Macaca mulatta: one gene and its partners. The protein of the gene in region 5 interacts with the protein of the main gene of each other region in a pairwise test. Links are inferred from orthologs where the notes say so. Each region holds a gene or a part of one and is shown on either strand. Other genes may lie near its edges.

Region 1 (4,309 bases), on a different chromosome or scaffold from region 5:
AGGGAATTATTGCAAAGATTAGTGAAGATTAACAAAGATCCAATGCTATATGACACGGGCCCATTGCAGAGCTGGCCCTCAATTAAATGTTAGTTGTAATTATTATTTTTATTTTAAAGAAACAGTGCAGGCCTAACACACTGCTTTCTGCTCATTTGCTGTTCTTCACATGTACGAATAAGAGATACTCCCAGGTAGAAAATACTCCCCATTGAGGAATGAGTCTGATCTATTTGAAGAATACAGTAATTTGGCATTCTTTCTTCCTTTGACCTGGCTTATATTATATTCACTTATTTAAACATGGAAGCCTATTTAATGCATACTCATCTAATTTCATACGAATTATAGCAAGTGAAATTTCAATGGGTCTCCTGAGATACTGGGTGCATCTTATTAAGAGAATCAGACTCTTCTAATTAAAAATGGTCATTTCTCTAGACAATCTCCTCTAGTCAAAGACTCCATTTCTTCACCAGTGTATCCATGAAAATCTGCAATTCACTTAAAGAGGACATTTTACTTTCATAACTCATTGAAAATATGTCACAGATTTTGGGACAGTCAACTTACAGACCATATCATGATGACATTCTCTTACCTCCTGCAAAAACTTTTCACTCATTTGACCGAAAGGATGTCCTGGGGGCTTGATTCCAGACACCATCAATCCTGAACTGAAGACCCTTGGCTTCTGCAGGTCCGGCTTGAATTTCTCATAGAGGTTGGCAGACGGCTTCAGGTCACCACTCACAGCCTTCTCTTCATGGGGAAGAGGCATGGTACATGTGGGCGGGGCGTATGGAAGCCCCACTGGAAGCAGCGAGGCGTCCACCTGGCCCAGGGCCTGGGGACTCCTCCTGATGTAGGTGATGATCTTGGGCCTCACATGCTTGGGCTTGGGCATAATGACGGGCTTGGTTTCTGTCCTCTCCTCTGTTTTTTCAACCTGATGGTTCTCCGTTCCCTCCTGCGAGGAAGGTGTGTCCTTGGAATGTGTGAAGACAGGCTTGGGGATCCCACTGGGGCAGGCGTTCTTGTCAGGCACTTTGGGGGATGTGTTCGACAAGCGTGCACTATCAGCAGGGGGTGGTACCGCCAAGGGGGACACTGCATCCATACCGAACACGCTAACATCCTGAAAACGGCTACTGGGTGTTGTAGGCTGGTGGGTCATGTTCACAGTTGTCTCTGGGAGGAGGGGTGCTGGAATATTGAGAACTGAATCTACTCTTGCTGAGGTGCGTTCAATCTTATCTGCATTCTCTAGAAGGTTCCTGCTTTCAGCAACAGACGTGGTGATCTCTCTGCTTTCCCGTGCTTCTGAGCTGCCACTTTGAGGTTCCAGGGGCTCAGGCACCTCTGTCTGGCTCTCTCCAACGGAAGGATTGAACACCAGAACTGTAACACTGTCCTTGTCCACTGTGGGTTGCTCACTGCCCAACTGCCTTTCCTCCTCAATGACATCCAAGGGTTTGCTGTCAGTCAGATTAGTAGGAATAAAAGCCACATGACCATCACCTGGTGAAAAGCTGCCGGATGTCCTTTCACCCAACTTCCCACCTGCACATGGTGAAATGTTGCCAGTGGGCTGACTATCAGCCCCTCCTAAGGAAGCAGAGGCCTGTTTGGGGGTGGCGTGGAGAGAATCCGGCTTCCCTGGGTTGACTCCTCTCTTCTCTTCACTGTTGCCTCTTCCCACCCCAAGGTGGTGGAGGTCACTGTTTGGCAGAGAGCCAAGTGCATCGGTGGTTTCTGGGTGCGCCTCCCCACACAGATCCTTTCCCTCCAAGGCTGAAAGATTCTCTTCCCTGTGGCATCCCAGATACCCTTCCTGGGCTGCCTTTCCCTCCTGTTCAACCCTCCTGGGTGAAACATATTTCAGCTCCAGCTTGGCCTCTGCCTTTCCTTGACCTAACTGTGCTTCTGGCTTACTCGGGATTTCCCTCGATGTCAAAGTCAGATTCAGAGCAGGCTCTGGATGGGCGGAACGTGGTATGTGCTCACTGCACACCCGCAGTACATGTGCTCCCACTGTCTGGGTCTCTGAGGGGGTGCTCTGCTTGGTCTCTGAGGTAGATGGTTTAGGATGACGCACACTCTTTCCCTCTGAGGTACTGTCAGTTGGAGGGAACGCTGCCGGGAGAGCGCAGTCTGGCAATGTCTTCTGTGGCCCCTCCCCACCCCCAGGCACCTGACCCCGTGCTTCCTGGGAGTCAAGGGGTGCAGGCTGTGGATGCTGCGGAGTCAGGCTCCCGACTACAGCTACAGAGCTGCTTGCTCTTTCCAAAGAATGCCTCCTCAGTTCCTCATTGTTGAGGGTCTTTGCCAATTTATCCTTGGGAACGTGCCGGGGAATTTCAGCATCCCTTTTAGCCAAAACGTCTAGACTGGCCTCACCCATCACATTTCTCCAACTCGACAGACTCGGTCCCTGGATACTCCGCGGGGTCTGCGGGCTATCTGCGCCTCTCTCCATTGTGTGCTCCTCATTGAGTTCCCTCTGAATGGTTGAAGAAAGTCTAAAATCTTTCAGGCTGGTGGAGCCAGGCTGAGATCCCTTCTCAAAGCTCTGAAGTTGGTGAAATTCCTTATGGAAATGGGTACGGTTTTCTGGCTCACTTGAATTTGTATTTCCAATTTCATCTTCCAGGTCACATGTCTTGGACTCATCATGAGAGGAGCTGACCTCCAACGTGATTTGATTGGCATTTGTATCTCCCAGACTTAGGATGCTCTCATTATTATTTCTTGCTGCATTTCTGTTGTCCCGCAGCTGAGTGTAACATGATTTCTTAGGAGCCACTGGGACGCTCATTGTCAACCCTTTGGTGGGGCTGCTTGCCATGCAGTCCTACTTAATGGAAATGGGCTGCCTTCAAGCTGCAATCAGATTAATAGGAAATTCTCAGGCTGCTTGTCCTCCCCTGACAATGTCAGCTTGTGACACTGCTTTAATCATTCTCAGAAGAGCTTGAAAAGCAAGCATTCTCTTGATATACAGCAGGAACTAGGTTCCGGCTGAATGAGAGCCAATTAGTCCGTGAGACCTAGAGAGAAATAAAAATACATTCACATTAGATGGACAAATAGAACTTCTCAGGAGGAAAAAAGTGGTAAACACAGATTTATTCGTCATTTCTATACTATTATTTCATTCACTCGATAGTTTTCTCAAAAACCTTTCTGATCAGGGCTCCTGCTGACCAAATACGGACAGAAATTAAACATCAGAATGTTTAATGTTAGAAATGGATTATAAATGCATGTGAAATCTTAAATCCAAATTTTAAACATCCACAAGTCTATACTGATACTGATTTAAAAGGGTGAAGGAGAAGTAAAGGCTCTTCTTTACAGAAGAGCATCAACGAATGTAGAAAAAAATTTACAGAATTTGAAAAATCACTATTTTGCAATCTCTGCATTAATAATTATCTTGCACAAGGGATGCCAAAGGTACAAACATTGGGTAAAAGATTGTTGGGGAACAAGATATTTATAGATGCTTAAAGTATCTTTCCCCCAGCTACTTTATTTCTTACAAAAAGAAAATTTGATCTTTACAATGGAGAGATCTGGTAGACACCACATTAACCACGTGATCAAATTTAACATCACTGGTATCGAAACTGACATGACGGACTCCTGATATTAGTTAGTTCTCAGGGCCACACATCACCTATGCAGTAATGTTCAACCAGAATTTAACCATGAGAAAATAACCTGGCGAATTTAAATTGAGGTATGTATTACAAAATAACTGGCCTAACTGGTCCCAAAAAAAAAGTCAGCAGAGGCTGGATTTTCAAAATATGTTAGCAAAGGATATTATTAGGACAATGAGAGATGTAAATATGGACTGTATATAAGGTACAGGTATGTCATAATTAATTTCCTTGGGTGTATAATCGTGCTATAATTATGCCAGAGATCATCTTTGTTCTTGAAATATCCATGCTTTAGAATTCAGGGGTAGTATGTCATGATTTCTCTAACTTATTCTCAAATGATTCAACCAAGAAAAACATGTGTATGTATGTGTGTGTGCATATGAGAAGGAGACATATGTGTGCAAAAGAGAGAAAGAAACTGGCAAAAGTCAACCATTTGAATATCTAGTTAAGAATTTTACTACATCTGCAGCTTTTCTATAAGTTTGAAATTTTCCAAAATAAAAACTTGGGGGAAACGCTTCATTCCGGCCTTCGCGGCCTGCATGATCAGGCCCTGAACACCTTTCTGGCCTCATCCCCACCTCACCATCTGCTCTGCAGGCTGCTGCCACATTGGCCTCATTCCTCACAGT
Region 2 (3,810 bases), on a different chromosome or scaffold from region 5:
TGGAGGAGAGGAAAGGAGACAACAACAGGGACCAAGATCTGTTGACAAAATTATTTCAGTCCTATTATGTCATCAGTATGAGGACAGAGAGACAATTCACAGTAAGTGGCCAGATGCAGTGTAAATATCTGTTTATTTAGCTTTATTGCATCAGATCGTTTCTCTGAGTTACATGTTGTCATAACGTGATTATGAAAGACATGCTAAGTCTGGATTGATGCAAAGTAAAAAAGTAAATAAATAAATAAAAGTACACTTAGCTCCCAGTTATCTGCACTAGAAGCAGAATAGTTTATGCACGAGAAACAGGAGGAGGAGAGCAGCGGGGCCCACCCTGTGCCTCCTCAGGTGCTCCGTGAGCTTATCCCTGGATCCCTGGGAGCAGGAAGAGGGCTGACAGGTGAAACTGAAGACAGAAAAATATAGCTCCGAAAAGTAAGCTGCATTGTAACGAAGGGGTGAAGGACACCAGCTGCACCCAATAAAAAGGTGGTGCGAGGTGCCGCAGTGTTTCCTCGGCATGTGTTACTGACACGTGTGGAACCTGTTTCTCTGTAGGTCTCTAAATCAGAGAAGATTCTCCTAGCCCTGGGATAATTCGGGACACTTATTTAAAGGTTGAGGATTCAACCATATGACCTCTGAAGAACGCATCCTTCAAGCCTGAAGATATACGTAAAGCAAAAACCATTTCTTTGACATAGAATTAAATAATTTATCATTTGTGTCTTAACATTTAAGCCTATCTACAGAACTACACGAAAACAAAATTTGTCTGTTGTGGTAATTCACGCATTCTTTCAACAAAGATTTAACATGTCCAACACATACAGCAATGCTGGAGGAGCAAAGTACAGAAAGGTTAGAGAGGTGAGGGAATCACAGAATGATCCACTGTACGCAGCATAAGAGATTATTCAGAGGAATAGGAGGAAGACAGAATTAATCAGGGAAGACTTCTTACAAGGGGTGAAATCTAAATCAAGTGAAATCCAAATCTAAAATCAACTTGAATTTGTGATGCTCACAAACTGGCAGACAAAGAATGACAGAAAGAGAAATCAAACCAAAAGGGCATTTACACATGAAGGACTACCCATCAACAAAGGCATGGAATTGCAGTTTTCTAAAGAAAAAATTAGCCTGGAAGCTATGGAGGGACCATGATGGAGAACAAGGTCCGGCCCAGTGGACTATGGCCTTGGACACTCTGAGGAAGGTGCTCCAACACAAAGCAAAACATTGTGACTGGTCCTAAAAAAATTACTCCCGAGACGCACACAAACGCCCAGGGCTCTTCCTTACCTTTCCCATAGAAGAATTTGCGGTAGTAATAGGCCCCAAGGTCAATGTGTTCTATGATGTAGCGCTTCACTTTCTCCCTGTGAATGGGCTGGTTTTCTCTGGGCACTTCCAAGACCGAGACACCTGCATTTGTGCAGTGAGAGCTGAGAGACGATTCAAAAGAGCAGCTTTCCCCAGAACTGAAAGAGGACGAGTTGGCCCGAGAGAGCGCAATCCGCCTGTCGCCTTCCCCTCCAGTCTCATTTCTAAAGTAAGGACAACTAAGGACAAGGTCGTTACTTTTCCCGTCACCCTCGTCGGCATCCAGGTTCTCTTTGGAGTTGAGGTCCTCCTTGCTCCCTAAAGGGGACTCACAGTTGCCTGTCTGGCCTGTGGGCATCTGAGTCTGGGATGCTGCAGAAGCCCCGGTGGTTATGTTTTTCCTTTTCCCCACATTAGCCCTCGTAGCCATGGCTTCATTGATATTAAACAAAATGCTCTGGACATCATAATGTGCAAAACAGCGCTGGCAATTCCAAGGGCGAATGCCCCTCTCCAGTCGGCTCTCCTCCAGCTCAGATGTGAACTTGAAAGTTTCGTGCTCACTTTTAACAGTTCGAAGCTTTCGAAAGAGGGATGTTTCCACCGACTCTGATTTCAACCTCCGTTTGAAAGGCTTGTCCCTGTCTCTCCCCATCAGGAGGGCACTGTCCATGTAGTCTAATCCTGAGATGCGGACAAATTCTCCCCTAGAAATCTGTGCTGCTGCATGAAGGCTCGGAGACACTGCAGGGTCACAGCGGAAAAATTCAGGGAACCCAAAAGGGACCATTGCTTTGTGGTCATAATTTTCTACTCGGTACCCTCTGAGCATAGCAAAAAAGTTTTCACCAGATAAGCCTTGCCTGTCGATAGATGAAGTACTTCCATACTCCCTGTGCAGGGCAGCCCCTGTGTTGGGGTTGACTGCATTTTGGTCTAAGACATCTTCGGCGTCGATGTCACTGATAGTGACATCACTATTGCTCCTCTGTCTTATGGGGTGAAGTCCTCTTTGGGGGGAATGGACAAAGATGTCCCCGATTGTGTACTTGGCCTCCACGAAGTCCAGATCGAGCTGCTCATCTTGCTGACCTTCGCTCTGGTCACTCTGCCCATTCTGCATGACGGAGGTGACACTTTCATAACTGGTCTGAGACCGGCTTTCCCACAGTGCCTTGCAGGTTAGCTCCTTGGAACAGTCCTTTTTAGGAGGCCATTCAGACACCCTTGCTCTCACACCCATCTTGGGCACAGCTGGGGTACCATTAGCCGGACCACCACCGCCAGTCTCACTGGAATTCGAGGCATTTAAAGAAGTAGTGGGTCCCATGTTGCCATTAATGGCTTTAAATTTCCGAGCAAAATAATCATCTGACTGCATGATTCTAGGGGGATCCTTGAACTTTGAAGAGGCTCTGCCGAGCTTGTGCTTCTCTTCTTGTGACTGCCTTGGGTCACTCATGTCTACTGAGGAAGAGCCTCCAAGACTCACCAGGAAGACCGATGTAAATCTAATTACATTGCTATTGACCACGCCATAATACTTGCAGATATAAAGCCTTTGTCTGTAGTTGTATTTTTTCTTTTTTTTTTAGCCCAAAGCAAACAACATCTTCAGAATACAGTTTCTCCAAAGCCAATTTGCTTCTCTGTTGTCGTAATAATGTTGTACACCTCTGTTCTTTTCAAAAGCATTCCTTAAGACATCTGGCTGGTCATGAGTATTTCCTTCACCTGAATTAAAAGACAGGAAGTAGCCATTAGCAATTAATATACTTCAAGTTGAACACATTCTACAATAGATTTCGTATCTGTCTTTCTCCTCTGCTTCTGCCCACGAAGTTTCATGATCCACAGCACTGTTCGTAACACTCCTCCCTGGACACCATCTTCCTTCTCTACACAGCTAGATAAAATTCACATCATACAATCAGGTATTAACTTATCTGAGAAACTTTCCTAGGATGTCTCCCACACTAATTGCATCTAAGCAAAGAATGTTGTGATAACACAGCACTCCATCTATATCCAACAGAGTAATTTTCCTTATCTCTAATTGCTGTTTACCAACTTACTGACTTCAAGTTCCTCTAAGCAAAGAACCATGCCTTTCAGTTGTGTACCAGCATTAACTATTAAGGTAGCCTGGCTTAAACTAGGGATTCATGAAGTATTTCAATGAATGAATTGGCTATAAGAGTAGCACAAGTCATGTATATAATGGGTTTCAGTATTATTAGTTTACTTTCCTTCAAAACAGTTAAACTCAAAATGGCCCACAGCAAAAGGGTCAATACAAGACATTAACAAGAGAGTTTTCACAATGATCACCTGTAGTCAAATTAGAACTCACACAGATCCTCCTTTAAGTGGGAAAAGGTCTTCAAGGATCTGGTATCTGACACATCAAATACATTGGAGTAGAGAGATACTGGGTAAGAAGTTGTTTTCTTGTACCTAAGTTGTCAGTTTTTCAGTCTCCAG
Region 3 (4,523 bases), on a different chromosome or scaffold from region 5:
CAGGCTGGAGTGCAGTGGCCGGATCTCAGCTCACTGCAAGCTCCGCCTCCCGGGTTCACGCCATTCTCCTGCCTCAGCCTCCCGAGTAGCTGGGACTACAGGCGCCTGCCACCTCGCCCGGCTAAGTTTTTTTTTTGTATTTTTAGTAGAGACAGGGTTTCACCGTGTTAGCCAGGATGGTCTCGATCTCCTGACCTCGTGATCCACCCGTCTCGGCCTCCCAAAGTGCTGGGATTACAGGCTTGAGCCACTGCGCCCAGCCGATCTTACATCATTCTTAATCTTAATCTTTGATGCCTAATGCATGCCTAAAAAAATGGTGGTTAACCTGGCTACTAATTTCTAAAAAGCACTTAATCTGGAGCCAGTAGACCCATATGGTAAATAAGGTAGGTCACCCCAGCCCATTCACCTGCCACGGACATCATGACCCTTCAAACCGGTAACTCACGTGACCAGAGCAGAAGGCACGACCAGACCATCAACAAGCTCCCCAAGTTTCCCCCGAACTGCCTGGCGATTTCGAAGTCGAATGTTCATGGCTCCTGACTGTTCCTGCAGTGTCCGGATCTCAGAGCTGATGGAGCTGAGGTCACTCTGAAAAGCTCCCAACATCTGCTCCATTCGCTGTAGGGAAGGTAGAAGATGTTGCTGGAGTGCTATAGGGTTTGTAGGGGATAAGTGGGCCACCAAAGCCTCTCTGTGAAGTCCTCAGTATTCATCAGTCCATGAGGGTGGCAGAGGATGAGATACCCCAGATTACCAGGAAATAACATTAAATATGGCAGCAATAACAAAAAAGGCTCCTGAAGTCATCTTGAAAATGACCCTAACTTGTCCCCATCTTAAGGCTGATGACCTAAAAATGGCACCAGAGTCCATGATCTGGTTCAGAGCAGCTATTAGGGGTCACAGTTCAGGATTACTAACCTCCAGGACAGCATCACAGGCTGTGATCTGGTTGTGCAGAGATGCTATATTCTCACTCTCTTGAATATCTGACCCACAAAAAGTCAAGGGGCCTCATGGTGAAAATGGGAGAGCCTCAGATTTGTAGTACCTCTCCAATTGCTCTCTGAAGTGACAGAAACCTCACAGATGTTGACCCCAGCTGAGACATCTGTACCACACACCACAAAATCCCCATATCAATAGCACCGCCCCTTCCCTCTGCTGGAGGATACAATCCCGAATGGATTTCTGTTCAATCTGCTGTAGCTCCAGTTCAACTTGTTTTGAATAGTGACGAAGATCTACACCCTGGGAGGACATAAAGATGACAGGTCAGAAAAAAGTCTCAGTAAAGGGACACTGTAACAGAATCAGTGAAGGACTAAAGGATCAGATACCAGGCTGATATAACAAAAGCAAAAAACTGTTGTTTTTCCTTTTGGGGGACAGTAGATAGAAGGGCAGATTAGTATAGGGGAAATCCTCACCGTTTTAAGAGCTTCCTTTACTAACTCATCCTCCAGATTTGCCTGAATGTGAACTGGAAATAGAAGTTTATCGTAAGGGTTCAGCTCCACAGCTCCCTCTCCCCACATTGAGTATCTGCACACCAATCCCTACCTTATTCCTTCCAGCTCCCATGCCTCTCAGATTACAGGTACTGCACCCACTCCACGCCATCACTTACCATCCACTTCATCCAGGATGAACTCATCAGAAGTGATATCCAACTCCCCAAGTTGCAGTGATTCCTGGAGCCCAGCACCACCCGCCTGAAAAGGAATAAGTTAATGGGAGTAGGATACAGTGAAAGACAGAAAGAAAAAATGTAATTGGATATCCCCAGTCCTTCAAGTGAGAAGGAGGTGCTTTTGCTGGAAGCCACAGGTACCGCTTTGAAAAACTGTAAGTCTCACATTGTACCCACTCTCCTATTTTGTGTTGATAGGTAAGGAATACGACAAGGAGTGAGACGATCCAATGAGACAGTGGAGGTAGCCCAGCATGGTGGCGGGCTCCTTGTAGTCCCAACTACTTAGAAGCTGAGACTGGAAGACTGTCTGAGGAGATCAGGAGTTCAAGGTCAACCTGGGTAACACAGGGAGAACCGTCTCAAGAAAAAAAAAAAAAAAGTAAAAGACAAGACAGTGGAGATGACCTAATGAGGAAAGCTAGGAATTGCAGAGGATGGAGCTGAACTTGCACTTAAATTTAGGACCCTCAGGCTCCTGCCATCTTGGATGTTCTATCACACCTCTGGGGAACCCCAGGCTTTCTATAAATGTCAAAATACATAGTGTTTACCTGCGTGCGAGATGCAATCTTAAACATACTCATTCATCTAATCCTAACAACGATGTATACAGTAGGTTCTATCTTCCTCATCTTATAGGTCTGAGAAATGATGGCACAGAAAAGCGGGTTAACTTGCCCAAGGGAACACAGCGTGTAAGTGGCAGAGATGGAATTAGAACCCAGGCAGTCTGGCTCCAGAGTCCATGTTCTTAACCTTTACACTATATTACTTCTTGACTCTACCCCAAAATGTGGAGCGAAGTTGAAATTGTGCCCCAGAATATGAGTTTCAGCCACGAGGGTCCCGCTCAGGGTCGGGTCTGATCACAGGGAAGGGTACGGGGAGTCAAACAGGTAATATCACAGGTAGCAGCCAAGTTCCCACCCTTGTGCCTAAACCCAGCTCAGGTCTTTCTGAAGCTAGGAGCACCGGGACTACGGAGGAGAAACAGTTCCGCGCTCTCACCAGCGGGCCCTCTTCCTCCTCCATGTCTGACGTCCCTGCCCGCAACACCAGTTCCCGGGCGGCAGCCGCCATGGTCGCAGCGGCGGCCATTCCCCGCAGCCTCACTTCCGGCAACTGTCAGGCCGGCGAGTCTGTTCCCCGGAGTGGAGCTACAAGTCCCAAAGGGTCTTCCTCAGCGCGAAATCGTTCCCAGATATTTGAGTTAAATTGTTTGACTCCAGCTGTTCCCTTTCAGTTCTAACCACTTCACCCAACTCTAAACGGAAATGTGGAAGTCTGAAGCACAAACTAGCCCGGAACCTTCGCTTCTCTTAAACCTATGAACTTTACGAACTGTAAAGAAAGGCGCACCGGAAGTTGTGGTACCCGAGCCATACTCTCTTAAGTCCAGCTAGGTCAGGCTGAAACAGTTTCCGGAAGCACTTCTCCTAGATCGCTCCGCCTCTTCCTCCTGAACGCTATATAATGATACCGCGTCACTTCCGCTCTCTCTTCCACAGGAGGCCTACACGCCGCCGCTTGTGCTGCCGCCATGGTAAGCCTGGAATCCGTGCCGTGATCCAGCGACATCGCAACTCGGGCAAGGAAAGCCGGCTGTTGGGGTTCTGGAAACGCCCTGTCCTGAGGGCCTGAGACTTTCCGTATGAAGCCTTGGATCGCGCCCCTGGAAAGGGACACCAAAGATTTCCAGTTCCGGAGAGCGGGCCCGAGGAAGGGTCACTGCTCTGGCGCACGGAAGCTGCCTAAGGCTTGGGCGTATATGGGGAACTCTGGCTTCCGCCACGCACTTTTGGGAATGGGCAGGAGACCTGCCTCCTCTCTCCAAAGGTTGCATTTTCCCAAGCTTGAACGCTTCATGTACCTACTCTGCAGGACTGAGGAGTTTGCTGTGTGGTGTGAAAACCTTAGGGGTGGGGATCGGGTGCCTTTGCCACTTGTGTGACAGGCTTAACCGTTTTGTATGAAGTTCGTTTGCCTTTTCAACCTTACTGTTTGATAGTTTACTGTGTCTAATTTCTCCCCCGTACTTTTTAAACCAGTCTCTAGTGATCCCTGAAAAGTTCCAGCATATTTTGCGAGTACTCAACACCAATATCGATGGGCGGCGGAAAATAGCCTTTGCCATCACTGCCATTAAGGTAAGTAAAGTAGGGTAAGGAATAGGGAATGTAAATGAGAATTGGGTTGTGAAGACATGAGCAAAAATGAAGCAAGGTTGGGGAGACTTGAGTCTCATCCAGAGCACCTTGACTGCTGGATTAAGAAAAGAAAGTGGTTTAGGGAGAGACTAACCCCTTTAGCACTTACCACATTTACCACAGAAAATAAGTGATTAAAGCCAAGAGAGTGGTCTAAGGTCAAGCCAAAACATTTCACCCGGGGGAGTGGGAAGGAGGTATGGTTGCTCACCCGAATTCGCTAAGATTTTCCTGAACCGTGAGATCCTTCTAGATTCGGTTTCTTTACCCACCCTGCCATTATAACAGCAACCCTTCCTGTGAAATTTATATTCCCTCAGAATTGGAGGATTATTGGGCATCTTGAGGGATGAGTAAAAATGCCAACAGATAAAAAGTGTGAAGAAACTTGTAGATGGAGGGTGGAAGAAGTATGAGCAGGACATTTACTCATATGTCAGAGTTGACACTCCTGTTAAAGTGTGAAGGAGTACATCTCTCTCTTCGGCTTTTAAGAATCGAATCAGTGAATGCAAGAATAATTATTTCACTTGGGTATTTCTCTCCACAAACCTAATAAACTCCTGGCTTTCTAGATACACACGTTCTTTTTTTTTTTTTTTCTTAAGTCA
Region 4 (4,552 bases), on a different chromosome or scaffold from region 5:
GTGAGTTTGGCCCCTCTTGCCCTTCTATCCCTTCTGCCACGTGAAGACACAGCAGTCCTCCCATCCAGAGGATGCAGCAACGCGGTGCCATCTTGGAAGCAAAGAGCAGCCCTCACTAGGCACCAAACTGCCTGGACTTCCCAGCCTCCAGAAGTGTGAGAAATAAATTTCTGTTCTGTGTAATTACCCAGTCCCAAAGTATTTTTATAGCTGCACAAATGGCATGAGACAGAAAAGATTTAGAATAAAAACACTTAAGAGAATCAAAACTATAGTTGGGGAAAGCCTCATTGAGAAGATGGTATTTGGGTAAAGTCCAAAGGAAGTAAGAGTCATGTGGGTGTCTGGGGAAACAGTATTTCAGGCAAAGGGAAAAGCAAGCGCAAAGGCCCTGAGGTGAGCAGCGGGGAAGCAATGGGATATGGAGTCAGAAAGGGAAAGCAAATCATGAGAGAAGTAGGACATAGTGAGACCAGATGCTGTAAGGCTGCATAGACTATTATGGAGCTTTTGGCTTTTAAACTGCGTAAGATGGGGAACCACTGACCAATTTTGAGCACAAAAGTAACAAAAGCTTCATTCAAGGGAATCAAACACATCAAATCCTTTAAATATGATTAACATATCATTGTGTCACTGAGTTAAATCTATTAGACATAGTTGTATCTAAAAATTAGATTTAAATGATACAGGATGAATCAATATTACTCTATCTTACAAAGTTTTTCATGGCCTCAAATCATTATCAACAGCAAAGCTGGTGATTTCAGGGCTTGGAGATAAGGGTTAGTGGCTTGGCCTCCTTCCTGGAGTCCCTACTCATTATGCCTCCTGCTGACATTTTTGAGCACAATCCACCCAGACACCCATTTGGTCAAGGGCCCTAAGCCAGATTCTCACTTCCCAGTTGCCACTTGTGTGGCCAGAGAGGTTCCCAGGAATAAAGACATCTGATCCCTGCTTATCAGTGAGGGGCTCTTGCTCCAGTCCACAAATGCATCCATACCTGAGGCATGGAGGAGATTAAGACTGGAGCAGAAGCTTGCTGGGGATTTTGGAGGCGTTCCTGAAAAAGATCAGTTAAGGTTTTCAGTGCAGGGAAGCGCTGTGTAAGATTGGCCCTTCTAAAGACTCCTCTGGAGGTACCTTAGGAGGGAAGGCAGGACGGGAACAGGAGGTCCTGGGTGGCTATGTCACCCTGGCCTAGAGGTGAAACGCCATGCTTCACACGTGTTCCCTCATTTGCAAAGTGGAATTACCGTCAGCCTAAGTGGTTGTTTTATGTGAAATTAAGTGAAATAATTCATATAGGTGAAAGCACTCCATTTAAAGTTGTGCAAATATAGAGGTTTATCAAGCATAGTGATACTGACGTGTGGTTAGAAGCCCACCAGGTGTGTGTGTAAATCTACCGCTTCCAAACGCGTCTCAGAATGATGTGGAGTAGGGCCATTGGAACAATCAGCGATAAATAAGCGCATCTGAAGGGGAAGGGAACAAGCCGCTGACTAACTCACAAAAGAGGCGGTCAGCATGGGTAGAGATGAGCATGTACGGTTCCGTCCAGAAGCAAATAGTTGGAGCTCAACATTGGTTAGGCGCGGTGAGTTAGCCCTCGGTTTTCTAAGCCCAGATGTCGCATCTTGACATAAAACCAAGGATGGAGGCTGTACCGAGAAATTCGGGCTACTGCCCTGGGAGCCAGGCTCACCGGCAGCGCCCCTGGCCGCGCCCGCAGAGGCTCCGGCTCCGGCCCCGGCCCTGCCCTCCTCGCGCGCCCCCCCGGCGGCCGCCCGTTTTTGCGCCGCGCAGCCCGAGCCCCTCCGGAGTCCGCGGCGCTCGACGGCTCCAGACACGCCCGGCGCCGTCCCCGCCGCCTTCCCGCCGCCGCCGCCAGGAGGCTCCGCGCGCCTTCCCGCCTTTCCCCGGGCCGGGCCGGGCGGCTAGGCGGGCGCGGGCGGCGACGGCGCGGCCATTGTCCCGCAGCCCCTCCCGGGCGCGCAGGAGGGGCCGGCCTGGCGGGCTGGGCGGCGCGGCCGGGCGCGGGGAGGGGCGGCCGGGAGCCGGTGCCCACCAACGCCCGCCGCCGCCCCGGGCTCGGCCCGCCGCCGCCGCCCGCGCGTCCTCCGTGGCCGCCCACAGCCCCTCGGAGCCGGCGCCGCCGCCGCCGCCGCCGCTGCGCCCCGGGCTGCAAATGGCGCCCGCTCGCCTCGGCGCCTCCCGCCGCGCTCCCGGCCCGGGGACGTCTTGGTGAGGCGCGCCCAGGGCCCGCATCTCAGCACCGCCGCCGCCCGGGCCGTGAGAGCCCGCGGCGCCTCCGCCCGCGGCCAGGCTCGCGGCGGGTCCCGGGCAGCCCCGACGCCCGCCCGCCCTCCGCCGGCGCCGCGCGCCGCCACTTACCGCGGGCCGCGGCGCACCGGCCGGTCGCGCGCGCGGGCCGGGGGAAGATTCTTGGTTCTCGGCTGGGGAAGGACCCCCTTTCGAGGCCGTTCCTTTGCGCCCTAAAACAAGTAGCCCCAACGTGAGAGAAACAAAAGGTATTTGCTGACGTGGGCGTTGGACAGAAACGCCCGAGGGCTGGGGACACAATTAAAGGGGCAACGCACAGATTTCAGGCACCAACCAGCAGCTTCGCCCACTCCCCCTGCCCTTGCCCACACCCGCTGCACGCTCCAGAGGCACCGGGGTGCCCAGATTCTCTAGCAGTTGACTGCGGATCATGATTTTAGTCAGGAGCTGAAATTTAAAATTGTACTTTACGTTGGGAAAGGCGCCTCCGGAGGGCAGAAGGGCTGGATTTCTAGGATCTGGGGAATTTGGTTTAGGAAAGAGGGAGGGACTTAGGCGTGCCCACAATTACTGTATAAGTACATGTGACATTATTGTACTTAAGTTTAGCAACGTCAAATGCAAAAGATTTCCACAGAGTTTTCTCTTGTATTGAAGCAGTTGTTTTAGTTGAGGATAACCTTTTCTAAACCTCTACAGGTCAGAAGCATTTCATTTGAAGAGGAAAACCCAGAGAAGCTAAGAGAACATAATTCCTAGTTTAAGTCCAGAGAAATACAAAATTAGTAAAAACAGCAAGTTCCGTCTTTTCCAATACAAGCATTCATTGTATACCAAGCTTCCTCTGACAAATTTACATCTCTAATATTTAGAGTACAGATATCAGGTTATACATTTGCTAAAATAGTAAATCAGTGGATTTTCACTGTTACTATAGATGCATTACTTCTATAAATTAGTTTCCTAGTTCCTTATGCTGGGGTCAGGTACTGAAAAGTACTGTGTTATAGTAAAACTGGAGGAAAAAGGTTCAAATTATCAAAACTTGGGTTTAGCTTTTAATGGATTCCTCTCCTGTTCATAATCAGTCATATTGGACAGTCTGTAACTTTGATTTCAGGAATAATTATGCATTTTGAGGATGCAAGATCTTCACAATTGTCTCTTAATGTCACTTCTGTGTCACTGCAGAGGTGCTTTGCTATTTAGTTGTGTTTCCTTGCCTTCTGAACAGGTAAGTAGAAACATATTTGAAAACCATTAGGTATCAGGTATATTGGATGTACTCAGATTACTCTGCTAGCGCCCCCCATTGAGAATTCCCCCAGAAAGACCTGGACATGGTTATAGCCAAAGGTTTGATTTTAGCCTTAATTAAAGATTAATGCAAAAGAGTTCCACAAACTTATTCCTCAAGAGAGCACATCAGGTTGGTGATAAACTCTTAGTTGTGGCCGGGCGCGGTGGCTCTTGCCTGTAATCTCAGCACTTTGGTAGGCCAAGGCAGGCGGATCACGAGGTCAGGAGTTCGAGACCAGCCTGGCCAACATGGTGCAACCCTTCTACTAAATATAAAAAGTAGCTGGGCATAGTGGTGCGTGCCTGTAATCCGAGCTACTGGGGCAGCTGAACCAGGAGAATGGCTTGAATCCAGGAGGTGGAGGTTGCAGTGAGCCGAGATCGTGCCACCGCACTCCAGCATGGGTGACAGAGCAAGACTCCATCTCAAACAAACAAACAAACAAACAAAAAACTTTGTTGCAAGGAAGAGGTAATGACAGTTTTGTCCCTCATCTTCATTCTGCTAGCTTTGGGAGCTTGTTTCTCTATGTTGGGGCTCCATCATTAACCAGTGCTAGTCTCTTAAACTCTGACTGCCACCCTACCCCACCCCCATCCCTGTTTCCACCTCTTCAGTTCAAATCTTGAGGAAGATAATCCATTCCAATTTTTTTTTTTTTTTTTTTTTTTTTTTTTTTTGAGACAGAGTCTCCCTCTGTTGCCCAGGCTGGAGTACAGTGGCAGGATCTCGGCTCACTGCAACCTCCACCTCCCAGGTTCAAACAATTCTCTGCCTCAGCCTCCTGAGTAGCTGGAATTACAGGTGTCCACCACCACGCCCGGCTAATTTTTGTATTTTTAATAGAGACGGTTTCCCCAGGTTGCCAGGCTGGTCTTGAGCTCCTGACCTCATGATCCACCCGCGTCGGCCTCCCAAAATGCTGGGATTACAGGCTTGAGCCACCGCGCCCGGCCCCATTCC
Region 5 (3,810 bases):
TTGGGGAGGCAGAGGTGGGTGCATCACTTGAGGTTAGGAGTTGGAGATTAGCCTGGCCAACATGGTGAAACACTCCTTCTACAAAAAATACAAAATATAGCTGGGCATGGTGGTGTGCGCCTGTAGTCTCAGCTCCTCGGGAGGCTGAGGCGCGAGAATCACTTGAACCTGGGAGGCGGAAGCTGCAGTGAGCCGAGATTGTGCCACTGCACTCCAGTTTGGGCAACAAGAGCGAAACTCCGTCTCAACAACAACAAGAGTAACAACAACAACAAAGTCCTCCATGCTATGCTTTGTCCTAATTTACTTCCCTAACACATCTCAGTTTTTCTTCTCTATCAAACTTATCTTCTTAGCCATCTGACCATCAGTCCCCTAAAACTTAATCCACGTGTTTGAAACTTACCTAGCCTAGAAAGCCAATTAAAATCTCATCTCTTCTCAAACCACCTCAGCCAATTATATTACTCTGCTACGAACACTTGGGATTACTTACTATACACATACTTCCCATTTGCAAGTCACCTTTACTGCCTTGTGGATCTAGTCCAGTGAATGATTTTGTAAACAGTTTTACTACAATATAGCCATGCCCATTTGTTTATGTATTGTCTAGGCTACTTCTGAGCTACAATAGCAAAACTCTGTAATAAAGACCAATTAATGTGCAAACTCTAAAAAATTTACTATTTGGCACTTCATAGGAAAAGTATGTGGGCGCTTCCTTAGACTCCTAATGTTTACCTTTTTATCTCTCCAATTAAACCACACTCCCCCAAAGGGGTGGTATTTTATATATGCCCTTCAGTATTGGTCCTTCAAGAACTTATCTGAAGAAACCTTGCAAGCAAGTAATGATTTTTAAAAGCCCAACTGTTGGACGCGGTGGCTCACACCTGTAATCCCAGCACTTTGGGAGGCCGAGGCAGGCGGATCACCTGAGGTCAGGAGTTCAAGACCAGCCTGGCCAACATGGTGAAACCCCCATCTCTACCAAAAATTAGCTGAGTGTGGCAGCGGGCGCCCACAATCCCAGCTACTTGGGAGGCTGAGGCAGGAGAATCACTTGAACCCAGGTGGTGGAAGTTTCAGTGAGCTGAGATTATGCCACTGCACTCCAGTCTGGGTGACACAAACTCCATCCACCCCCCCACCAAAAAAAAAAAAAAAAAAAAAAAAAAAGAAATCCTAGAAGTATTGGTAGGGTGTGCTGGACTATGTCACAGGGTGCACCGTGCAGTATGAACAAAGAAAGCAAAAAAGAACTTGGGAGAAAAACACTGGGTAAAGGAAATACAAAAATACTTACCAGTGCAAACAAGATTGCGGCATAAGCCATTTCGGAAATCATGAAATACACGATTTCGATGTTCCTAGGAGAAAGCAATTTATTCCATTTGATTAGCACTCATATACAGCCCCAAATTTCCCATGATTATTTCTCCTAGTCGATCGGTTCTACCCAAAACCTGTTTATAAGTGATCCATGACATTAAGCTGCTTTCAAAACCAAATATGAGTTAAGTTATTGATCTCTTCATCTACAGAAACTGTTTACTTACGAAATTTCATAATGTAGTTAACAAAAAGTCATTTTGTTAAGTTTTAAATTATTTTTTGCTAAATCAAATTCTGAAATTTAGACATTGCATCTTTCTCTAAAGGCAAACAGTAAAGAAAAAAGAAAAATCAGCCAGCTGAGGGGCCATATTTAAAAATCCAGAGCAATGCTGTCCAGTAGAAACTTCTGTAATAAAGGAAATGTTTGTGTCTGTACTTCCACTTCCAATACAGTATCCAGCAGCAACAGGTGCCTAACTGAGCACTTGAAACGTGGCTGTGATTGAGAAACTGACTTTTTATTTTAATTTTTTTTTTTTTTTTTTTTTTTTGAGACAGAGTCTCGCTCTGTCGCCCAGGCTGGAGTGCAGTGGCGCTATCTCGGCTCACTGCAAGCTCCGCCTCCCGGGTTTACGCCATTCTCCTGCCTCAGCCTCCCGAGTAGCTGGGACTACAGGCGCCCGCCACCTCGCCCGGCTAATTTTTTTGTATTTTTAGTAGAGACGGGGTTTCATTGTGTTAGCCAGGATGGTCTCGATCTTCTGACCTCGTGATCCGCCCGTCTCGGCCTCCCAAAGTGCTGGGATTACAGGCTTGAGCCACCACGCCCGGCCTTATTTTAATTTTAACTGATTTAAATGGCCACATGTGGCTAGTGGTTACTGGATTAAACAGAGAATTAAACATGGGAATGAAAGGAAGAATACAATTTTACATTTGTATTATACCTGACAGCTTACAAATTTAAACATTTACCTTAATTTTCCTAACTACCTTGTAAGTTATGAATATGTACTATTATCTCTATTTTATTGCTAGAAAATGAACCTTAGGTAGGTCAAAATGAAAGGTCCTTTGGCTACTAAGGAACAGTTTATTCTTAAACTCAGGACATTTAAAAGAACATTAAAACAAAATAAAATCAGAGATTTCTTGTTAAATTTGTGCAAGTTCTAGTTTTATACTCACCTGCCTCATTTTAGCATGAATATAGAAGCAAGAATAACCCAGTTGAGAAATCTTCTTGGCTAGTAATTCAACTCGCTGAGAGGAGTTACAGAAAATGATCGACTGGTTTATCTGAAGCTGAGCACAGAAAAAATAAGTATGAGAAAAATTAAAACCTTCATTTGGCTTGCCAAATCTTGAAAACACTAACCAGCAAACAAGAAACATTAACATGGTCTAAAATTTAGAATCTTATGATATGAGAGAGATGGTAAATTCTAAGTACTTTAATAGATGGAATATAATAATATCTAAGATTTATTGTATTAGAGTATATTTCTTAAGGGCCACATAACTGTCAACAAGAGTAATACAATTGATTATCTGATTCCAAGTAGTTATGTTTTATGTTTTTCCATTTAAGAATACGTGTGTGTGTGTGTGTGTGTGTGTGTGTGTGTGTGTGTGTGTGAGAGAGAGAGAGAGAGAGAGAGAGAGAGAGAAATGGAGTTTCACTCTTGTTGCCCAGGCTGGAGTGCAATGGTACAATCTTAGCTCACTGCAACCTCCACCTCCTGGGTTCAAGGGATTCTCCAGCCTCAGCCTCCTGAGGAGCTGGGATTACAGGCACCCACCACCATGCCTGGCTAATTTTTGTATTTTCAGTAGAGACGGGGTTTCAGCATGTTGGTCAGGCTGGTCTCGAACTCCTGACCTCAGGTGTCTGCCCACCTCGGCTTTCCAAAGTGCTGGGATTACAGGTGTGAGCCACCGTGCCCAGCCAAGAACATCTTTAATATACTCACAACCAATGCCACTAGCACTGGGCAGCACTTCAGCACCATGAGTAGGGGTCAATTAAAACCGTGAAATCAGGCCGGGCGCGGTGGCTCAAGCCTGTAATCCCAGCACTTTGGGAGGCCGAGACGGGTGGATCACGAGGTCAGGAGATCGAGACCATCCTGGATAACACGGTGAAACCCCGTCTCTACTAAGAAATACAAAAAACTAGCCGGGCGAGGTGGCGGGCGCCTGTAGTCCCAGCTACTCGGGAGGCTGAGGCCGGAGAATGGCGTGAACCCGGGAGGCGGAGCTTGCAGTGAGCTGAGATCCGGCCACTGCACTCCAGCCTGGGCTACAGAGCGAGACTCCGTCTCAAAAAAAAAAAAAAAAAAAAAAAAAAAAAAAAAAAACCGTGAAATCAGCAACAAAAATTTGAAAAATATGGCACAGTGAAAAGGATACTTGTTCACAGTATGAGAGCTAAACAAGAGGACAGAGCATTGTCTTCTTCAACCTCAG
Region 6 (4,453 bases), on a different chromosome or scaffold from region 5:
GTTGGATATTTGCAATAGCAACAACAAAATTGAGATTCCCCTTTCTACTTGGAGGGAATCCAGGATCCTTCCAGGAACATTTCTGGGGTGGGCACACTTCAGTTTGGAGAGGGCCCCAAGGCCAAACGGGGGTTTGAGCGTAGCCTGACTTCCTCCAGATTCCCAGGCCCGGCGTGCCCCTCCAGAGTAGGGCAGGTGAAAATCTGTATCCTTAAACCTTAAACCAGGAGAGAGACCTGGTGCAAACCTCAGCCTTGCCACTTCCTCAACGCTACGGACATCCCCGAGGAAATAACCTCTCTGGGCTTAAGTTTCTTCTTCTTTATTTTTTTTTGTTTTTTTTCGGACACCGAGTCTCTCTCTGTTACCCAGGCTGGAGTGTGGTGGTTCGATCTCTGCTCACTGCAACCTCCGCCTCCCGGGTTCAAGCAAGTTTCCTGCCTCAGCCACCCAAGTAGCTGGGATTACAGGCGTCTGCCACCACACCCGGCTAATTTTGTATTTTTAGTAGAGACGGGGTTTCGCCATGTTGGCCAGGCTGGTCTCGAACTCCTGACCTCAAGTGATCCACCCGCCTCAGCCTCCCAAAGTGCTGGGGTTACAGGCGTGAGCCACCGGTGGCACCCGGCCTGGGATTAAATTTCTTTAAGTGTAAAAGGACTAAATAGTTCCTTCCCCTTAGATACCACAGCATGGCAAGCTCTTCAGAAACGCCAGGAGATTTCTGAAAGAAGCACCTGGGAGAATCTGACTGATGCTGGGAACCCTTTCTCCAAAACTGGGCAAAGAGAGATGACCAGGCTGCAAAATGTTTGTTTTGGGGGTTGGGGGGACGGCGAGTCTGTGCCCTAACTCCAATTGTCTTTTATCCAAGGGGGGACTTGGGGGGATTGGGTAGGAGGGAGGGGCTCTGAAGCCACACAGCTGGGTCTTTGGGCAAATTATTTAACTTATTTTGTGCCTCAGTTTTGTCCTCCACAGAATGCAGCTGTTTAAAAAAAATGAATTCCCTATTTGTCAAGTATTAGGTCAGAGTCTAGCATACATTATTTTCCCAATCTCCCCTCCAGGCCTCAGCCTTGCCATCTGCGCAGAAAAAATGGGGTGGGGGGCTCACCTTCTCGGGACGCAGGGACCCTCGGCCCCCCAGCTCACCTGTGATACTGAGCTTGCAGTAGCTGAAATTCGTCTTTGATGCGGTCGCAGGAGTCCGAGGTGGTGAATTTGAGTTGCTGGGGTAGGTGCGAAGAGCCCTGTGGGGAAGGGGCGGCCCGGGTCAGGCCCTGGCTTGGGCTGGACCCCCCTCGAGGGCCAGCCGGGAGGGAGCGGCCGCGCAGCTGCGGCGCCCCCCCTCCTGCCCCACTTCCTGGGCCCGTGTTTACGGCCCCTGGCGCGGCCCCCACCCGCGCTTCCTGCCCCCCGCCTCTCCCGGGGGAAGCCGAGGGGGTGGGTGCGCCCGGAGCCGCCCCGACCCCCGCCACCTCCAAGCAGTGGGGGTGCGTTTTAAGGCCTGCCCTAGATGGGGGGCAGGGTGCGCCCTCTACCGCCCCTCCAAAGCGCCGGGAGGGAGTGCACATCCGAGGGGGGTGGATACGCACCCTAGGGAGCCCCCTCCCCAAGTTGGGGGGCAGCGAGTCCTCCCAGCAAAGCCCTCTTGGGGGAGGGGTCTCTCGGCGCCCGAAATCTTCCCGGGGGGCCCACCCCAGATTCCCAGCGCCCTTCCTCGGGGACGCGCTCTTCCGGGAGGGGTGCGCCTCGGATCGCCCCCCCACCACAGGCCCCCAAAGGATCCCCGCGCTAGAGGTGCCTGGCGGGGCTCCCGGAGCGCCCCAGGCCCGAGGCCAAGGCCGTCCGAGGCCCTGCCTGTCCCGGCGAGGGGGGGGGCGCCAAGCCGGGAGCTGGGACGGGGGGGCTCGGGGCCCGGAAGCTGGGGTGGATCGGGAACTGGGGGGTGTCCGGGGGCCGGCGGCAGGAGGGGGGTCGCGCCGGGCTTGGAGCTGGAGAGGGAAGACAGGGCCGGGGAGTTGGGGGGGGTGCCGGGCCGGAGGCACCGGGCCTGGGGGTGGGGGGCGCGGGGCCGGGAGCCGGGGGTGGGGAGCGCAGGGCCGGGATCCGGGGTGGGGGCGCCTGCCGGACGGACCCCGCTTACCGAATGCCTGCTTTGTGGAAACATCATGTCAGTCGCGGCAGGGGGCGCGGGCTGCGCCCCGGCTGTGCGCCCCGGCTCGGGCTGCTGGGGGCGCCGGGCGGCCGCGCCTTTGTCCCGGCGCCGATCGGCAGCTCCCGGGGCCGCCGCCGCCTCCCGCGCCCGGCCTCGCCCGCTTCCTGCGCCCCCTCCCCGCGCGCCCGGCCCCGGCGCGCCCCGGGCCCCGCTTCCTGCGCGCCCGGCGCCCCTCCCCGCCCCTCCCCGCCGCCCGCCTCCCCGCTCCCCGGCCCCACCGCTATTGTCTAATGGCGGCGACGCCGGCAGTGGCCGCGGCTCGGCTGATGCTGAGGCTCCGGCTCCACCTGCCGCCGCCGCCCGTGCCCCGTGCGCGCCGCCGAGGGGGGGGAGGCGCGCGCCCGGGGAGGCCTGCGGATCCCCACCCCGGCCCGCCTCCCCAGGGCCCGCCCGCCGCGGTGACCTTGGGCCCGGCCCGCCCCCGCCCCGGGCCGCGGCCCCCGCCACCCCCCCCAACCCGGCAGCAGGCCGGGCCTCGGTTTCCCCATCTGTCAAAGAAAAGGGACCCGGCTGCCCGCGTCGAAGCCGCCAGCCCTGCCGTGGCACGACCTGGACGCGTGCCACGGACGTGCTCTGTGACCTTGGCTCTGGCTGGGCGGTGGTTCTCGCTGAGCCTCAGTTTCCTTTTCTGCAGAAAGGCAGCGGTAATGCCGCCTTTCTCAGGGAAGCCATTCTTGCGACACATTTATAGAACGCCTACTGTGTGCCAGGGCCTGCTGCTCCAGGGCCCTGTGGTGGGGGCGGGGGTGGGGGGTCCCTGCTCTGGTGGTGGTGCCTGGAGACAGACAGAGACAAATTAACAAGCTGAATTCCCAGCAGGTCAGATGGTGGGGACCGTTCTGCAGAAAAACCAGCCGGGAGGATGGCAGGGTAGGAAGATGCAAAGTTAAACAGGTGGCAGGGAGGATCAGAGAGAGCTTCCTCCGCCCCTAAAACGACCCAAAGAAGGAGAGAGAACAGGGGGATGGGGTACAGAGGTACTCAGAGGCAGGACCAGCAGGTGTAAAGGCCCTGGGGCAGGACTGTGCCTGGCATCAGGGTGCCAGGGCGGAGGTCAGGAAGGCCGGAGGGAGGCAGGGCCTGGGGCTTCATGCATTTGCCCGGGCCCCCCCCCCTCCTCAGCAGGGCTTGTGCTTGGGTTAATATTTAGTGTTGCATTTTGAGATTCCTAATCATTTTTGAACAAGGGGCCTTTCAGTTTTCTTTTGCACTGGGCCCTGCTAACTCTGTAGCTGGTGAAGCAGGCCAGTCCAGCAAGGACTTGTGGGCCATGGGGAGGACTTGGGTTTTTGGGTGAGTGAAGTGGGAGCCCTGGAAGGCTGTGGGAGGAGGAGGGATGGGACCTGGTGGTTTGTTTTTTGTTTGCTTTTGAGACGGAGTTTCACTCTTGTTGCCCAGGCTGGAATGCAATGGCACGATCCCAGCTCGCTACATCCTCTGCCTCCCGTGTTCAAGTGATTCTCCTGCCTCAGCCTCCCGAGTAGCTGGGATTACAGGCACGTGCTACCACGCCCGGCTAATTTTGTATTTTTAGTAGAGACGAGAGTTCTCCATGTCGGTCAGGCTGGTCTTGAACTCCCGACCTCAGGTGATCCACCTGCCTCGGCCTCCCAAAGTGCTGGGATTACAGGCGTGAGCCACCTTGCCCAGCTGTTTGTTTTTGAGATGGAGTCTCACTCTGTTGCCCAGGCTGGAATGCAGTGACGTGATCTTGCCTCACTGCAACCTCCGCCTCCCGGGTTCAAGCGATTCTCCTGCCTCAACCTCTCGTGTAGCTGGGATTACAGGTGCGTACCACCATGCCTGGCTAATTTTTGTATGTTTAGTAGAGATGGGTTTCACTATATTGGCCAGGCTGATCTTGAAATCCTGACGTTGGGTGATCCTCCCGCCTCTACCTCCCAGAGTGCAGGGATTACAGGTGTGAGCCACCGCACCTGGCTTTAGACTTGTGCTTTTGCTCTGAGTGAGGTGGGAATCCTGGAGAGCCGTGGGAAGAGGAGGAATGGGACCTGGTGGCGGTTATGAAAGTATCCCTCTTTCTGCCATTCAGAGAACAGGCCCCAAAGAGGCCATTGAAATAAGGCTGTTCCGCCGGGCGCGGTGGCTCACGCCTGTAATCCCAGCACTTTGGGAGGCCGAGGCGGGCGGATCACAAGGTCAGGAGATCGAGACCACGGTGAAACCCCGTCTCTACTAAAAATACAAAAAATTAGCCAGGCGCGGTTGTGG
Region 7 (3,810 bases), on a different chromosome or scaffold from region 5:
GTAATCCCAGGTTGAGGCAGGAAGATCACTTGAGCCCAGGAATTCAGGGCTGCAGTGAGCTATGATAATGCATTCCAGCCTGGGCAACAGAGCAAGACCCTGTCTCCAAAAATAATATCATTGATGCCTGGATTGAATTTTAAATATCTTAATATATTAAGATAGTATACTATTTGACTATAACCCTCTCCCCATAAGTGATGAGTTCTACCTTAGATATCATCCAAGGATAAAAAGGGAGACCCCCAAAAAGCATGTTTAAAGAGAGAAGAATAAAGCCATTTCCTATTACCACCATCAAGTTCAGCCTATTTAATAAAAAGTTTCACAATATAAAGATAGCATTTTGCTCCTGAATCTTCGTCCCTGGTCATACTTCAAGATATAACTAATAGGCCTCCTGGTAATATGACTTAATATGTTTATTATATTACTTCAGATGTTTATTTAGAAGCTTTTTAAGTCCAAATTAGTGTAATTCAATATTTCACTTCAGATTGATGTATGTATATATGTTTTATTTATTTATTTGACAGAGTCTCACTCTGTGGCCTAAGATGGAGTGCAGTGGTGCGAACAGAGCTCACTGCAGCGTTGAATTCCTGGGCTCAAGTGATCCTCCCATGTCAGCCTCTCAAGTGCTAGGACTACAGGTGCACGCCACCATGCCCAACTAATTAATTTTTTTTTCTAGAGATGTGGTCTCACTATATTGCCCAGGCTGATCTCAGACTCCTGGCCTCTAGCAATCCTCCTGCCTCGGTCACCCAAAGTGTTAAGATTACAGGTGTGAGCCACCATACCCGGCCTGAATTCCCCCTTTAAAGGACAAAGTCTCTCAAATTGAGTCTCAGAAACAAAATGAAATCCAGTTACATACTGGTACAAGAAAGTCTAAAACAAAACAGTTTTCAGAAAGGTGCTTGGTTCCCATTTACAATAGCAATAAAAGTTATAAAATACCTAGGAAATAGCAAGGTATTTCCTAACAAGAAATATGCAAGAGCTAAATTTAAAAATATACAACACTTTATTGAAGACTATAAAAGATGACCCTGATGAAAGTACATATTTCTCTGAATGTGATGATTCAAAAAGGTTAAGGTGTCATTTCTCCAAATATTAATCCATAAAGTCAATTCAGTTTTAGTTCATCTCAATGGGATTTAGTTTTTAATTTGAAAACTGTTCATCCAGAAGAATAAATGTGCTAAAAATATAGCCAATAAAAATTTTTTTTAAATGACAGGATACTTGCCTCAAGGGCTATTAAAACTTATAACTATAGAAATTAATATATGGAAACAGTTGAGAAATGCAACAGACTAGAGAATCTAAAAACAAATCTGTGCATATAAAGGAATATGATCTATGATAAAATGTTATTTCAATAAAGTAGACAAAAAAGTAGCGTATTAGAGACTGCAAACACAGACACCCAGAGAATCCAGGTACGAGTATAAATGAGTGAAGTAAGGATGAATAGCAACTGGCTAACTATAGAACACATGCTCATATCTGACAAGGGAAAGGCCTAATTCTGCTGTGATAATAACCATGCAGGAATTTGTTGCCAGATCTTCTGACTTTTTAAGAGAAATTAGAAATAGCAGCCTAGAAAAAATAAAATATCTTAATTTTTTAAAAAGTGAATAATCTAAAATTTAAAAATCTTATGTGTACCCAATAAAATATGAGTGAAAGTCCAGTTCAGTCACTAAACTACCAGGTTTAACTGCTCAGCTATTCAATAAATGATCTGTAAAACTAGGAAGGTGAGATTCCCTATATCACACCATATAGAAAATTAATTTCAGATGAACTAAGGTCTCTACACAAAAACAAAGCCATACAAGGACCCTAAGAAAACAGATTTACTTATATAATAATAATAGCAACAAAAGAAACAAGAAGAGGGAAAATGGCTTACAGGGGGAAGGAAGGAAAAGGATTATAAAATCTTTTAAAAATCTTAAAGCTCTTTACTAACCTGCTTTGAACTAGGCCCAGAGTCTCCTTTAAGTAGTAAGATGAAGTCTACAATGTTTTTAGTCAAACAGTTAGTTATATCACAGAAAGACAAAACAGAATAAGTACACATAAATATGAGGTGCAAGTATTCCTTACCAACTGATAATTTATTACACTGCAACTGATAACCAAGATTTATGACGAACATCAGTCTTTTTGTCATGAAAAATCAATTCAATACCTGAAAGTATCTCTGGTCAATTAGGGCCTGTTGCTGATTATATTTGCTGGGCTCATCTTTTTTCTCTGTGTCCTCAGCCTTCTTAGGACTAATAAGCTCCTGTAATCTAAAAGGGAGAAAAAAATCAAGATAATGCAAAATTATTTCCTAGACACTGGACCAAGATGATAAACTAAGTAAATGATCCAGTCACCCTCCCAACAGCCTTATATCAGTTCACTTATATGTATGGGTGCACACATATATGTATGTATATTTATAAACATATATATATATGCCTATATAGAGTTAAAAAAAATTTTTTTTTGCGACGGAGTCTCTCTCTGTCACCCAGGCTGGAGTGCAGTGGTGCGATCTTGGCTCACTGCAATCTCCGCCTCCCGGGTTTACACCATTCTTCTGCCTCAGCCTCCCGAGTAGCTGGGACTACAGGAGCCCGCCACCATGCCCAGCTAATTTTTTGTGTTTTTAGTAGAGACGGGGTTTCCCCATGTTAACCAGGATGGTCTCGATCTCCCGACCTCGTGATCTGCCCGTCTCCGCCTCCCAAAGTGTTGGGATTACAGGCGTGAGCCACTGAGCCCGACCAGAGTTTAAAAAATTTTAAATCATATTGTCACTGGAAAACAAGAAGGCCCTCTCAATAAATAGCAAATCTGAAGGAATCTCTGAAGACAGAAGAGATCAGATGGAAGAAGAAAGTTCTAACCAGCCCCCAACACCCACAAAAGACAGCACAAGAGAGAAATACAACAAAGGATGGAAGCGACTTCCATCCAAGGTGCTCCAAGCTTACAGACTATAGATAAAGGGAGCAGGAAGCGTGGGAAGGGCCACTGGTTTGGGTACTGTAGCAGGAACAGCTAGACGTTTGGTCCCTCTCTCTTTGTATTCTACTAACAGCAAAGAACAGACAACGGCGATGCCTGGGCCAGTCAAGAGGGCATGGAGATCCAAGAGACCATTATTCCAGGTGGCTGCTAGAATGCTGGGGGAAAGGAGAGTCTCTTTACCCAGAAATACAACTATGTATAAGTGTATCCACCTAGTAGCAAACACTTGTCCTTCTCCAAATATCTAGAAGACAGCTTGTAATAATCTTTCTCCTCCCTCCTCATGCCTTTGAAAACAGTACCGTAGTACATGCTGATCCGTAGTTTCACTTTCCATGGTTTTAGTTACGCAAGGTAAACCAGGGTCCAAAAATACTAAATGGGAAATTCCAGAAATAAGTTTTAAAATTTATTATTATTTTTTAATGCGCACTACTCTGAGTAGTGTGATGAAATCTCATACTGTCCCACTCCATCCTACCTAGGATGTGATTCATCCCTTTGTCCAACTTATCCATGCTGTAACTGTATACACTACCTACCAATTAGTCACTTAGTAGCCATCTTGGTTATCAGATCAACTGTTGGGTATCACAGTGCTTATGTTCAAGTAACAACCCTTATTTAACTTAATAATGGCCCCAAAATGCAACAGCAGCAATGCTGGCAATTTGGATATGCCAAAGAGAAACCATAAAGCGCATCCTTTAAGTGAAAAGGTGAAAGTTCTCCACTTAAGAAAAAAATTGTATGCTGAGTTTGCTA

Evidence for each region.
Region 1: the proteins of DDX6 (region 5) and MTUS2 interact in binary tests that used the Homo sapiens proteins (3 or more experiments, as listed by UniProt). The link is inferred for Macaca mulatta from reciprocal best matches to the Homo sapiens genes DDX6 and MTUS2.
Region 2: the proteins of DDX6 (region 5) and SIPA1L2 interact in binary tests that used the Homo sapiens proteins (3 or more experiments, as listed by UniProt). The two-hybrid records come from large-scale screens. The link is inferred for Macaca mulatta from reciprocal best matches to the Homo sapiens genes DDX6 and SIPA1L2.
Region 3: the proteins of DDX6 (region 5) and VPS52 interact in binary tests that used the Homo sapiens proteins (3 or more experiments, as listed by UniProt). The two-hybrid records come from large-scale screens. The link is inferred for Macaca mulatta from reciprocal best matches to the Homo sapiens genes DDX6 and VPS52.
Region 4: the proteins of DDX6 (region 5) and ZBTB8A interact in binary tests that used the Homo sapiens proteins (3 or more experiments, as listed by UniProt). The two-hybrid records come from large-scale screens. The link is inferred for Macaca mulatta from reciprocal best matches to the Homo sapiens genes DDX6 and ZBTB8A.
Region 6: the proteins of DDX6 (region 5) and TLE5 interact in binary tests that used the Homo sapiens proteins (3 or more experiments, as listed by UniProt). The two-hybrid records come from large-scale screens. The link is inferred for Macaca mulatta from reciprocal best matches to the Homo sapiens genes DDX6 and TLE5.
Region 7: the proteins of DDX6 (region 5) and CEP70 interact in a two-hybrid assay, tested with the Homo sapiens proteins (2 studies listed by BioGRID and IntAct). The two-hybrid records come from large-scale screens. The link is inferred for Macaca mulatta from reciprocal best matches to the Homo sapiens genes DDX6 and CEP70.

Annotation. Positions count from the first base shown.
Region 1 is NC_133422.1:8,972,041-8,976,349, reverse strand, and holds the start of MTUS2 (microtubule-associated tumor suppressor candidate 2), read right to left. Parts: upstream 3,051-4,309; 5' UTR 2,849-3,050; coding exon 602-2,848; intron 1-601. UniProt on the Homo sapiens protein: Binds microtubules. Together with MAPRE1 may target the microtubule depolymerase KIF2C to the plus-end of microtubules. May regulate the dynamics of microtubules at their growing distal tip.
Region 2 is NC_133406.1:16,537,800-16,541,609, reverse strand, and holds part of SIPA1L2 (signal-induced proliferation-associated 1-like protein 2), read right to left. Parts: intron 3,061-3,810; 5' UTR 2,789-3,060; coding exon 1,306-2,788; intron 1-1,305.
Region 3 is NC_133409.1:149,016,225-149,020,747, reverse strand, and holds the start of VPS52 (vacuolar protein sorting-associated protein 52 homolog), read right to left. Parts: upstream 3,027-4,523; 5' UTR 2,804-3,026; coding exon 2,714-2,803; exon of another isoform or gene 2,257-2,713; intron 1,725-2,256; coding exon 1,640-1,724; intron 1,493-1,639; coding exon 1,440-1,492; intron 1,261-1,439; coding exon 1,185-1,260; intron 1,004-1,184; exon of another isoform or gene 999-1,003; coding exon 931-998; intron 660-930; exon of another isoform or gene 628-659; coding exon 452-627; intron 1-451. Other genes in the region: RPS18 (small ribosomal subunit protein uS13), read left to right, coding at 3,246-3,248, 3,754-3,852. UniProt on the Homo sapiens protein: Acts as a component of the GARP complex that is involved in retrograde transport from early and late endosomes to the trans-Golgi network (TGN).
Region 4 is NC_133406.1:208,334,794-208,339,345, forward strand, and holds the start of ZBTB8A (zinc finger and BTB domain-containing protein 8A), read right to left. Parts: upstream 2,827-4,552; 5' UTR 2,761-2,826; intron 2,544-2,760; exon of another isoform or gene 2,502-2,543; 5' UTR 2,401-2,501; intron 1-2,400. UniProt on the Homo sapiens protein: May be involved in transcriptional regulation.
Region 5 is NC_133419.1:119,435,225-119,439,034, forward strand, and holds part of DDX6 (putative ATP-dependent RNA helicase DDX6), read right to left. Parts: intron 2,647-3,810; coding exon 2,530-2,646; intron 1,374-2,529; coding exon 1,310-1,373; intron 1-1,309.
Region 6 is NC_133424.1:3,854,891-3,859,343, forward strand, and holds the start of TLE5 (TLE family member 5), read right to left. Parts: upstream 3,104-4,453; 5' UTR 2,907-3,103; coding exon 2,679-2,906; intron 2,493-2,678; exon of another isoform or gene 2,177-2,492; coding exon of another isoform or gene 2,150-2,176; intron 1,906-2,149; exon of another isoform or gene 1,599-1,905; intron 1,254-1,598; coding exon 1,156-1,253; intron 1-1,155. UniProt on the Homo sapiens protein: Transcriptional corepressor. Acts as a dominant repressor towards other family members. Inhibits NF-kappa-B-regulated gene expression. May be required for the initiation and maintenance of the differentiated state.
Region 7 is NC_133407.1:41,509,789-41,513,598, forward strand, and holds part of CEP70 (centrosomal protein of 70 kDa), read right to left. Parts: intron 2,319-3,810; coding exon 2,213-2,318; intron 1-2,212.